Linked DNA regions of Oryzias latipes. The protein of the gene in region 2 purifies or fractionates together with the protein of the main gene of each other region. This does not show direct contact. Links are inferred from orthologs where the notes say so. Each region holds a gene or a part of one and is shown on either strand. Other genes may lie near its edges.

Evidence for each region.
Region 1: the proteins of cttn (region 2) and asap1 purify together in Homo sapiens (affinity purification with western blotting; 6 studies listed by BioGRID and IntAct, with this or other methods). This does not show direct contact. The link is inferred for Oryzias latipes from reciprocal best matches to the Homo sapiens genes CTTN and ASAP1.
Region 3: the proteins of cttn (region 2) and filamin-A purify together in Homo sapiens (affinity purification with mass spectrometry; 3 studies listed by BioGRID and IntAct, with this or other methods). This does not show direct contact. The link is inferred for Oryzias latipes from reciprocal best matches to the Homo sapiens genes CTTN and FLNA.

Annotation. Positions count from the first base shown.
Region 1 is NC_019878.2:21,063,715-21,067,371, forward strand, and holds part of asap1 (arf-GAP with SH3 domain, ANK repeat and PH domain-containing protein 1), read right to left. Parts: intron 3,451-3,657; coding exon 3,222-3,450; intron 908-3,221; coding exon of another isoform or gene 839-907; intron 450-838; coding exon 288-449; intron 1-287. UniProt on the Homo sapiens protein: Possesses phosphatidylinositol 4,5-bisphosphate-dependent GTPase-activating protein activity for ARF1 (ADP ribosylation factor 1) and ARF5 and a lesser activity towards ARF6.
Region 2 is NC_019861.2:2,175,532-2,179,097, reverse strand, and holds the end of cttn (src substrate cortactin), read right to left. Parts: intron 3,513-3,566; exon of another isoform or gene 3,411-3,512; intron 3,211-3,410; coding exon 3,139-3,210; intron 2,123-3,138; exon of another isoform or gene 2,054-2,122; coding exon 1,917-2,053; 3' UTR 648-1,916; downstream 1-647.
Region 3 is NC_019865.2:4,665,158-4,667,532, reverse strand, and holds the end of filamin-A, read right to left. Parts: intron 2,309-2,375; coding exon 2,090-2,308; intron 2,018-2,089; coding exon 1,820-2,017; intron 839-1,819; coding exon 654-838; 3' UTR 533-653; downstream 1-532. UniProt on the Homo sapiens protein: Promotes orthogonal branching of actin filaments and links actin filaments to membrane glycoproteins. Anchors various transmembrane proteins to the actin cytoskeleton and serves as a scaffold for a wide range of cytoplasmic signaling proteins.

The DNA.
Region 1 (3,657 bases), on a different chromosome or scaffold from region 2:
TTGATGTTAGACGCCCGCCTCCAATCTAGACGAGGGTCATTTGGAGTGTAATTTGTTATGTTGACTTTGATTAAAAAGAAACTGTTGCAGTGAAATGGAAGTGATGCATTTAGATTTTTTTCTATTTGTTTATCTATCGCAAGTTATATCGTCATCGGAATATTGACCACCTATATCGCACGTTTTCCTCATATCGTGCAGCCCTAGAAAATGCTAACAAGTTTTTGGTCTAATTTTATGAAGACTTTACTTCCTGGGGCTGCTGCTCATGTGTGCTTGCGGCTCACCCCCGGATAAGCCCCCTTTACTGTGTGGACTGTGACAGAGAGGGCCGGGTGGGTCAGACAGGGTGCGTTTGTGTCCGGGAGGAGGGGGCGGAGGTCTCTTCTTGGACAGGGTGGAGCTGCCTCCTGTCGTGAGTGTGGAGAGAGGGCCGGATGGGGGAGGAGCTGGAGGAGCGACACATAGGACAGGTGAGGCGGTGAGGTCCAAAACAAACGGAGAAAGTTTCACGTCCAGAGCAGGTAAAGGGGGGAGTGCCGAGGAAGAGGAGTGACAGACAGCAGGAGCAGGGCTTTGTCCGCTGGACGTCTGCCGACGACTTTTGTCATTTATGAAAGATAAGGTGAAAGCAGCTAGCAGAGAGCTCAGCCAGAGAGGTATCAGCTGTGGCTAAGAGTTTACAGCTCAAAGATGGCGGGTCGTCAATCTAAATACATTAAAAAACTGAAATCATCTCAGAAAGACAGCTTCAGGTCTCAATAACACCCCGTCCATCTGAGCTGTAAAGAAGGAAACAACCGAGGGGTAAAGGGGAGAACTTAAACAAGATATTCACTGATGTATGGTCGAGTGCCAGCCAGTGTGGCGTAGTGCGAATGAGAGCCAAGGAATGCCAAGTGAGGAGCTGAAAGAATAGAGAAACAAAAAAAGAGAAAGAAAACAGAGCGAGATGAGGAGTGTGGGAGACAATCTACAAGCATGTCAGTCTCAGAAAGAGCTGCTCCCACACACCGGAAAAATAACAAGATGAGATTCTATCAGTGACAAGTGAAGCAAAAGACAAAAAAGAAAAAGAAAAAAAAGGGGAAACGGTGTGAGGCTGGCCCCCGGGGGGGCCGGCTCCTCGGCACTGAGCTGCGCCAATGCAGAGCCGTGAAGAGTTAGCCTGTCATCCGTGTTTTTATCCACTCTTTTACTGCAGTACAGCTTTGCAACTGGAAGTGGCAGGCCTGCAAAGCTTTAGATTTACACACATAGAAGCAAGAATAAACAGCAACAACAACAACTTTTCTCATCAACAAAGGTTACACGTGCAACCCTCTGCTGCAAAGGTTGTCCATCGCCAGCCTTCCTTTCAGAGAGAAAGTAAATGACCGGCCAGACTGCAGGTTGTTACGCTGAAGGTCACAAATTCACATCCGAGCAGCACGATTCGAACAGATAACAGATTACTGGTTATAAGACATGAACAAGCATTAGTAATGCCTTTATAAGCATCTTATTACCACCTGTAGGACAAAACATCTATAAATGTTCTATAAGCATCTAATATGTTTGTAGAAGATCTACAAATGTTATTACATGTCTTAAAAAATGTCCAATGAAGGCTTATAAACACATTACTAACAGTTGTTAATGTTTTATTAAGACTTTACAAGTAATAAACTTATTTTTAAGCATTATGGTGACACCTATAAGGGATTAAAATCATTTATACTGTCCTATAAATGTTTTATAAATGTTTAAAAACATATTATAAATTCCACATAAAGACTTTAAAAATGCTAATAAATCTCTTTATAAGCATCTTATTACCACCTATAATAAGACCTAAATAATAATTAATGTCTTAATCAATTTCCAATAAAGGTCTACAAACACATTACTAATAAATGTTTATGTCGTATAACTAGATTATTAAGGGATCTTATTATAAAGCGTTGCCACTACACCCAGCATAGTTTCCTTTAAATAAATGTTCATATTTCTGTGCATCTATAACAGAACTCAATCTGTCTGTTTACAACCTCAAAGCTTTCTGAAAATGCAGAAAACGAGGACACCTGTCAGAGCACGGGCACGGACAAATCTGTGCTGGATCTGCCCGAGTGCTTTTTATTTGTGATAGGTCGGAAAACTGCTAAGGTAACTGGGAACTGTGTTTTCTGCGATCGTCTCGGGTGATGGAGGAGTGTTGTCTTTAACCTGAACTGCAGAGTCAGCGCCCTCACTGTGTTCTCTGCGTCCACGCTAATAAAGGCGTATGACCGAATCACAACTGCCCCCTCCGCCCTGCAGCCGTGTTTTCTTTAGTTTGCTATGTAAGCTAGACTGCATTCCGCCGCTGCTGCTAGTGGTAATGGAAGCCGGAGTAAAGTCATTAGAAATCTCTCCTGAAATAATCAAACATGCGCTGCGGTTACATGTGCAGAGTATCAGAATTGAACTGCAAAATAATGGCATCCGATTACAATAAAACGTTTACGTACGCCACACTTTCGGTCGGCATAAATCATCGTGACATGCGCAGAACTCTCTAAAATACCGGAAACGTCCGTAAAATACAATTAATATGAATAAAGTTTAGCTTAAATTACAAAAGGAGTTTATTCAAATATACCTCTGGTATGTCAGAAGACTCATAACCTCTGTTTTAACAGTAAAATGTGTCCAACACAAGAGGCTTTCAGCTCTCATCTGTTTGCTCAGCTGTGGGACAGGACAACTTTAAAAAAAATTAAAAAAAGATTTATTATTGTTATGATTATTATTAAGTGGCTGTTCTCCTATAATTATTTTAATTCTGTGCGGCCGGCCGGTCCTGTTAGCCTCCTCTGGAGCGCCACACCGTCTATGCCTGACTTAAAAGCCAGCGCCATAGTAACCCACAATCGGAATGAACTGTTTACATGCACCACGATCGGATCAACCATCGGCATAACCCCCCTCCTCAATCGGAAGGAAATTCTGATCCGAATGAGTCTGATCGGGGCAGAATATTCCAGACGGCGTGTTTAGATGACGCATTTTTATTCCCATCAGGCGTTTACTCCGATTACTTTTGTCCATGTAACCGCAGCTACTAACAGACGTACTGGTTTCCAGGTGTTCTCCTAACACAAGAGCTTCTCTTTTGCATCTCCCTGTCATCAGCACGTTTGGATCCACCAGACAGTTACTTAAACCGCAGCCGCCCGCTCCTGCACAGCGTGTCTGACCTTTGCCCTGGTTCCTGGGAGGCAGTGGCGGCCCGTCCGCCACGGGGGAGGAGCTGAGGTCGGTGGAGGCGCTGTACATCTGGTTGGTGAAGGCGCTGTAGGACAGGCGCTGCTGCTTGTCCCTCTGGCTGATGAAGCCCGGCAGGGAGAGCTTGTCGTGGGGGGAGAGGCTGGAGGAGTGGCAGAAGCTCTGAGGCCTCGGGGAGCGGTCCTTCTTGATGGGACTGGGCTGGAGGGGACATGAGAGTGATAAGTTGACTCAAAACTAGAACTCTATGAAAAAAGTCCACTTTTATCAACGTGTCGAGTCCAGAGGATGTTTTTTCTGGATCACACCGGCCTCCTCACCAAATTTTACCTCATTGAGGACAAACTCCTTTTGGTATCTACAGAGGACATTTGGGACTTTTCTATTATATCAAATGGGAAGGGGTGG
Region 2 (3,566 bases):
GCTAACAACTTTTCACGCGTAAACCACCAATGTATAACTTTTATATCGCGTATACGACACAAATATGTCAAAAAGGCCTAATTGACGCACAACTCGCACACGGTTCAAGTGTGATTGGTCTATTTTTTTTCCCCCTCCAGCAGTCTATACCGAGTAGGGGTCTTCCGCTCCCCCCGTCCGGCTCGGCCAGCAGCTGACTCAGAACTAGTTTGGATCAGAAGAATCCAACTGAGTAAAGCGTGGCGAGGGGCCGGCGGCGGGCGCTGACCATGGTGCTGACGTGATTTCTGCTCAGAGTAAAGAAGCTCAATGCAGCGCGGGGTTACGTGTTCTACGTGTTCCGTGGTTTTAATGTTTTAATGTGAAACATCTGTGAAAATATCCCAAAGAACCACCATTGTTCCGTTTTCACGTATGACCAGTTTCCATCCGTGAAATATGTGAAACATGTACGTAGTGGCTGTGGGACACGGTCTCTATATTAGCGGTGCAACAGAAAGTGATGAGCAACGTCAGAGCCATCCAGCCGTCCGGTTCTGATCCAGACTCCAGCTCAGACCAGGAAAACACAGACGTTCATGGATCTGTTGATCAGAACGGATTACCGTCGGCTTCTGATTAACAATTAGCATGAAAACAAATACAAATGCAATTTTAATCCTTTTATGTATATATGTGTGTGTCAACCATGAGAAGAAAATGGGACAAGAACATTTTACAAACATTTTTCCATCAGAGTGGGTCTTTAAAGGATCCAAACTAACCGAATGAAGAGACTTTGAATGTTTTTGTGCTCAGACGTTAACATGAAGACAGATCAGAACTGCTGCTGGCTTCCTGAAAGCAGGAACGTCTAAACGCATCTTAAAAGGGATCCGTTTGGAAAAACCTTTGCATTTAGCAGCTGCGTTTGGACATTTGAGGCTCCAAAACATCAAATATCAGCTTTCTTTTGATAATTCAGACAGTGAAAGTGCATTAAACATCCAAACATTTTCCTAGAATTCGGATCTGAACATCATAAATGGCGTCGTGTTTTCTGCGTTCATGCTCTGCTTTACAGTTAAGCATCTTCTGCTCACGGGCTTGAAAGAAACAGCATTTTAGGGGAAAGGAAGCAACAAGTAAAAAAATATGGATGTACATAAAGTTAAAGACGCCATAAGCCCCTCCCCCTCATCTTCATTTCAGATTATTTTAATATCTCACTTTGTTCAAATGAAGCACAGAAAAAATATTATTCCGTTTATTTATTGAAACTTTAAAAAAAAAGAGCAGATAATGATGAAACTGAAGCAGAGAGGTGTTTCAGATCAAACGTTTGAAAAAGGTCACTTTTTTAAATCCGTTTCCCCAAAGATGAGCGGATGTTTCAGCTGCACTGCGGCGAGGCGGACTCAGGATGAGCGCGGGTCCCGAACATCGCCGGGATCCACGCGGGATCTGCTCAACGCCGGCGGCAGCCTCACATCCAGAAAACACAGAAGCAGCCGGAGACGAGGGATTCCTGCGGAGGGTTCGAGCACGGAGCGCAGACGACGCAGACGGCGCAGACGACGCAGACGGCGCAGGAGACGCAGGCGGACAGAAGCTAGGAAGGACGCTCTGGACCTCTCAGCAGAACCGTTCTTCTGCTGTTCTTTAAACCAACTCCAACTCTTTGGTGAAGATTGCACCGGGGGGGGGGGGGGGGGGGGGGGGGGGGGGGGGTAATAAACGCGCGCTGATGCAGGGGGGGCTAAACCTGTGGAATGACTTGAATGACAGATCGGAGGCCGCCTGACCTGAAAGCCGGTCTGAGGCGGGAAAAGGAGCGACGACGTCTCTCTGTGTCCAATCACGAACATGAGCTGAAGGGAGGGAAGACCGCGGCAGAGGCTCCGCCTCCGGGGGAGGGGCTGGCCCTCCGCCGCTCCTTACTGCCGAACCTCCACGTAATTGGCGGGGAAGAGGCCGTAGGCTCCTCGGCACACGCCACGCCACCAGCCTTCATCGATCATCTCAATGTTCGTGATGATGTCATCGGGGTCGAAGGAGATCTCGTCGTCACCAGCTGAGACGGAAAACATGGATGTTAGAAAACCATCTGCAGACACTGGAAACAGACTCCGCCTCCAAAAAGGTATTTTCTTTAATCCTATTCTCGCATTTTGAAGGTCGAGATAAAGAAACGGAAATAAATTACAGGAGTTTCATCTAATTTTAGCTTTCTAAAAAAGGAGTAGTAGGCTGTGTTCAGACCGGAGAAGCGTTTGGTTCTGACCCGGATCGAGTCCTGAACCTTGTCTTGGGTCTATATTCAGACGGCTGTCAGGCAGCCTTTCTGTTCCAGACTAAAGCTTGTCAACAAAACCATGTGACTGCAGACCTCTTCACTCATTGGTCAGGAGTTAGGAGGGCGGGGCAAAGCAACCAGAGACAGAAATGATGGAAGTCCTGCACTTTCAGTTCCTTCAGACTTTAGATTCACTGACAGATGTGAACGTCTGCATCAACGTCAGGCTGCAGGACGGTGACGGACAGAAGAACACGAATGTGTTTCTGACAGTCAGGAAAACGGTGAGAAGTGATGTGGATCACCTTCCAATAGTCTGAATGAGTTTCTGCATCTCATCGTTGTGCAGTTATGGCGTCGATTTGAAGAATTCTGTTCAGGAACTACAAGGTAACTTTTAGGATGACGTCACAGCGGCGTTTGTCGGCCGTAACCACACAGAAAAGCCTGTCAGAAGCGTTTTAAGGTCGGCTACGGTGGCCCGGTGGGTCCAGATGTTCCGCTCCGAGGACGGATTGTATTCAGGCTGAGGAATCTGATTGGAAACGAACCCAGACCACCTCCAAAGGTGGGTCACAGAGCGGTTCCTGGTCCTGGACCAGAGTCCTCTTGGGTGGATTCAGACTGAAAACTTGTTCCAGATTATCTGGAAAAGCGAATTCTGGTTCACTTAGGGAACCAAACGTGTCCAGTCTGAACACACCCTTAGATTCCAAAAAGAAAGACATTCTAGCCTCTGAAGGAGTTCAAACAGAACCCTGATGTGTCAGACAGAGCTCGTCTTTTTCTCTGGGCTGTCGGCTTCAGACCCTGAAGGTGCAGCTGAAGTCAACCGCTGAGAACGGAATCCTCCTCCTCCTCACCTGCTTGGTAGTCGTACAGCGCCACAGCGGTCACCCCGAGGTCCTCGCCGTACTCGAACTGCTGATCATCTATTAAAGAGCAAATACAGCAGGTCCAATCAGACGCCCTTCCCTCCAAACATCTGACACGCCCATAATATTCAGATTCCCCATATTTGGACGGCCTAGGATGTAAACCAATCCCTGCTGTGCCCTGAGCTCTGTCTGTCAGGCAGAAGACAGGCTAGAGTCCTGATCAGCACAAATCAGTGTGTTTTCCTTTAACGTGTCAGGAGGACGTCACATCCAGGAAACCTTTGAATGATGGGAGAGATGAAGAAAGACGAAGACGGCTGAAACCATCATCAACCGGAGAAGAAGCTGCTGCTTTGGAGGTCAGTGTGATGTCTGTGGAGTTTAAGAACCTTCACCCCACAGACAGGCTAAAT
Region 3 (2,375 bases), on a different chromosome or scaffold from region 2:
TACGAGCCTTCCTCCTGTGTTCAAACTTTTCCACACCTCCTCCTCCTCATCAGAACAGCAGAGGCAACAACTGGGTCACACTTAGCAGCAAATAAACAACCAGGTTAGTTAAAGATCGTCATGAACACCACATGCTGGGGAGAGCAAGCAGTCACTGAACATGCAAGACTCCACAAGCGACAGAAGACGACCTTTCAACAATCCAATAAAATCTAAGGAAAGCATGAAGCTCCTAAAACTGGTGGATCTGTTCATCACAGGGAAGCTACAGTAAATATTAACCTTCCAGCCAAAGCAGGGCCCCACCACCTACACGTGTTCTTCTATCCCGAAGTTCTGCTCCAATCCAGACGGATCTAATCCAACGCCCACTGAAGGTGGGAAGTGTGGAGGGAAGAACAGCCGAGTGCTACTTTACAGTAATAAAAAAGGTGCATCTTTCTCTCCCTAAAGTCTTCCGATTGTTGTGAAGAGCAGAATGAAACAAGTGTAGTGACAACTGATTAAAAACCCATCTGAAGTTGGTTTTAAATAGTTCTATCAAAACAGGAAAGCTGAATCTGAAACTTAGAGCGGCGGCGGCGGTCTGTAAACGACAACAGGCAGGACAAGATTCAGTCGTTTGGAACAGTGGTAAGTTATGATCTGTGGCTTTAGACGGTGATGTGGTAGGGGCTGCCGGGGATGTGCTCGTCTCCCCATTTCACCACCAGGATGTACTCCCCCTTCTCCTTCAGCTGGTAGCTCACATTGTACACCCGGTTGCCCAAATGCTTCACTAGGATTTCCTCGCAGGGGACCTTGGGACCATCCACGCCGACCAGGAGCATGTTACGACCTGAAGGAAAGACGCAGGGAAACCACTTTACTACAAACATTTGAGAAATGTTAATGTTGAGGGACATCACCCACTTCCAGCTTCCTCTATTTACATCAAAACAGTTTCTTCAATTAAGGAATTTATCACTTCAATTTATCATTTAAAAAAACTACACATTTGCATTTGATTCTTCATCTTCTGTTTTTTGTCATCTGGAGGTTCTACATTACCAGCTCTTTATTATCTGCAGACGAATGATACCAAAGACGAGTGTTGTGTTTTTGACAGTTTGATTTAAAGGGGAAAATAACCATTTAATTCCTGTTTAAAATCTAAAAAACAGTTATATTTATACATTGCTTTCCAGCAATACCTTCAACTATGATGGACTGGTTTTCTGTCATGCTGTAAAAAGAAAACATATGCATGCTCCAAAAGTATTAAAATGTTGAAAATGATTAAGCTTCTTTTGCAATTTGACCCCAGGCAAGGATTAAAGAAAGTTTATGCATCAAGTCAATAATTTTTCAACCATCTTTGATAATTTATTTTTAAAGTTTAGACAAAGACTTTTTTCAGGTTTTGAAGAAAAACTACTGAAAATAAAGTTTCACACATGCAATGAAGCCAAAAAGCAATTCAGAGACTTAAAAAAAAATGTTGAATATTCAAAGTGAAGCCAATAAAAAATAAAAAAACATCAGTTTGCTACCATGAATGTTCTGCTGTGCACGTCTTAAAACCGGTTTTCCTTTCTGTCTATCACTAAATCCTAATTATCCTTTATTGAACTGAGGCAAGTCACTCGAGTATCATTTTGTAAACCTTAATTTTTTTTTCAGAAAAAAAAAAAAACTGTTCAAGGCTAAGTGCAGAGAGGTTCACGTTTAAAAAAAATTTTTTTGCATTTACAAAAATATTTTCCATCCAGACCACTGAAGTTTCAGATTATACGACTATGCTAAAAGAAATAAAGTATGTCGTCTATTCAGCACTCACCTGCTTTGCTGCAGTCCACACAGAAGTTGTTCTTCTGACCGATGAAGCCTTTGGTCAGGCCCGGACCTTTAGCCACCACCTTGCTGGCATCTGAGTGGACAGGAGCTCCCTGCTGAGAGCAGCTGATTGCTCGGGTCACTGGGTCGACCATGACTGAGGAGGTTTCGTGCATACTGTGGCTGGAAACCAGCTTGGAACCTGAAGAAGAATAAATAATGATTTTTTCTAAGCATTTGAGTTTAAGTTCCAGGAAGAAACCCCTTTCCTCACCTGTGATCTTGGCTTTGAAGGGGCTTCCCACGATGTGGTAAGGGCCGCCATATTTGATGGAGATTAGATAGTTGCCTGGCGCCATTGGGGTGTATGTGACTTTGTAACCCTCGGGGCATTCCACGCAGTCCATCTTCACCTTGGAGGGCCCGTCGATGGTCACGGCCAGGGCGCCGGGGCCCGCAGTGCTGGTGTTTACCACAAACTCGCATGCGGTTCCTTGAGGGTTGGAGAACAGTTGTAGTTTACCCAGTTACCCCGAACACACCAGTTTAAGGTTCTTCTC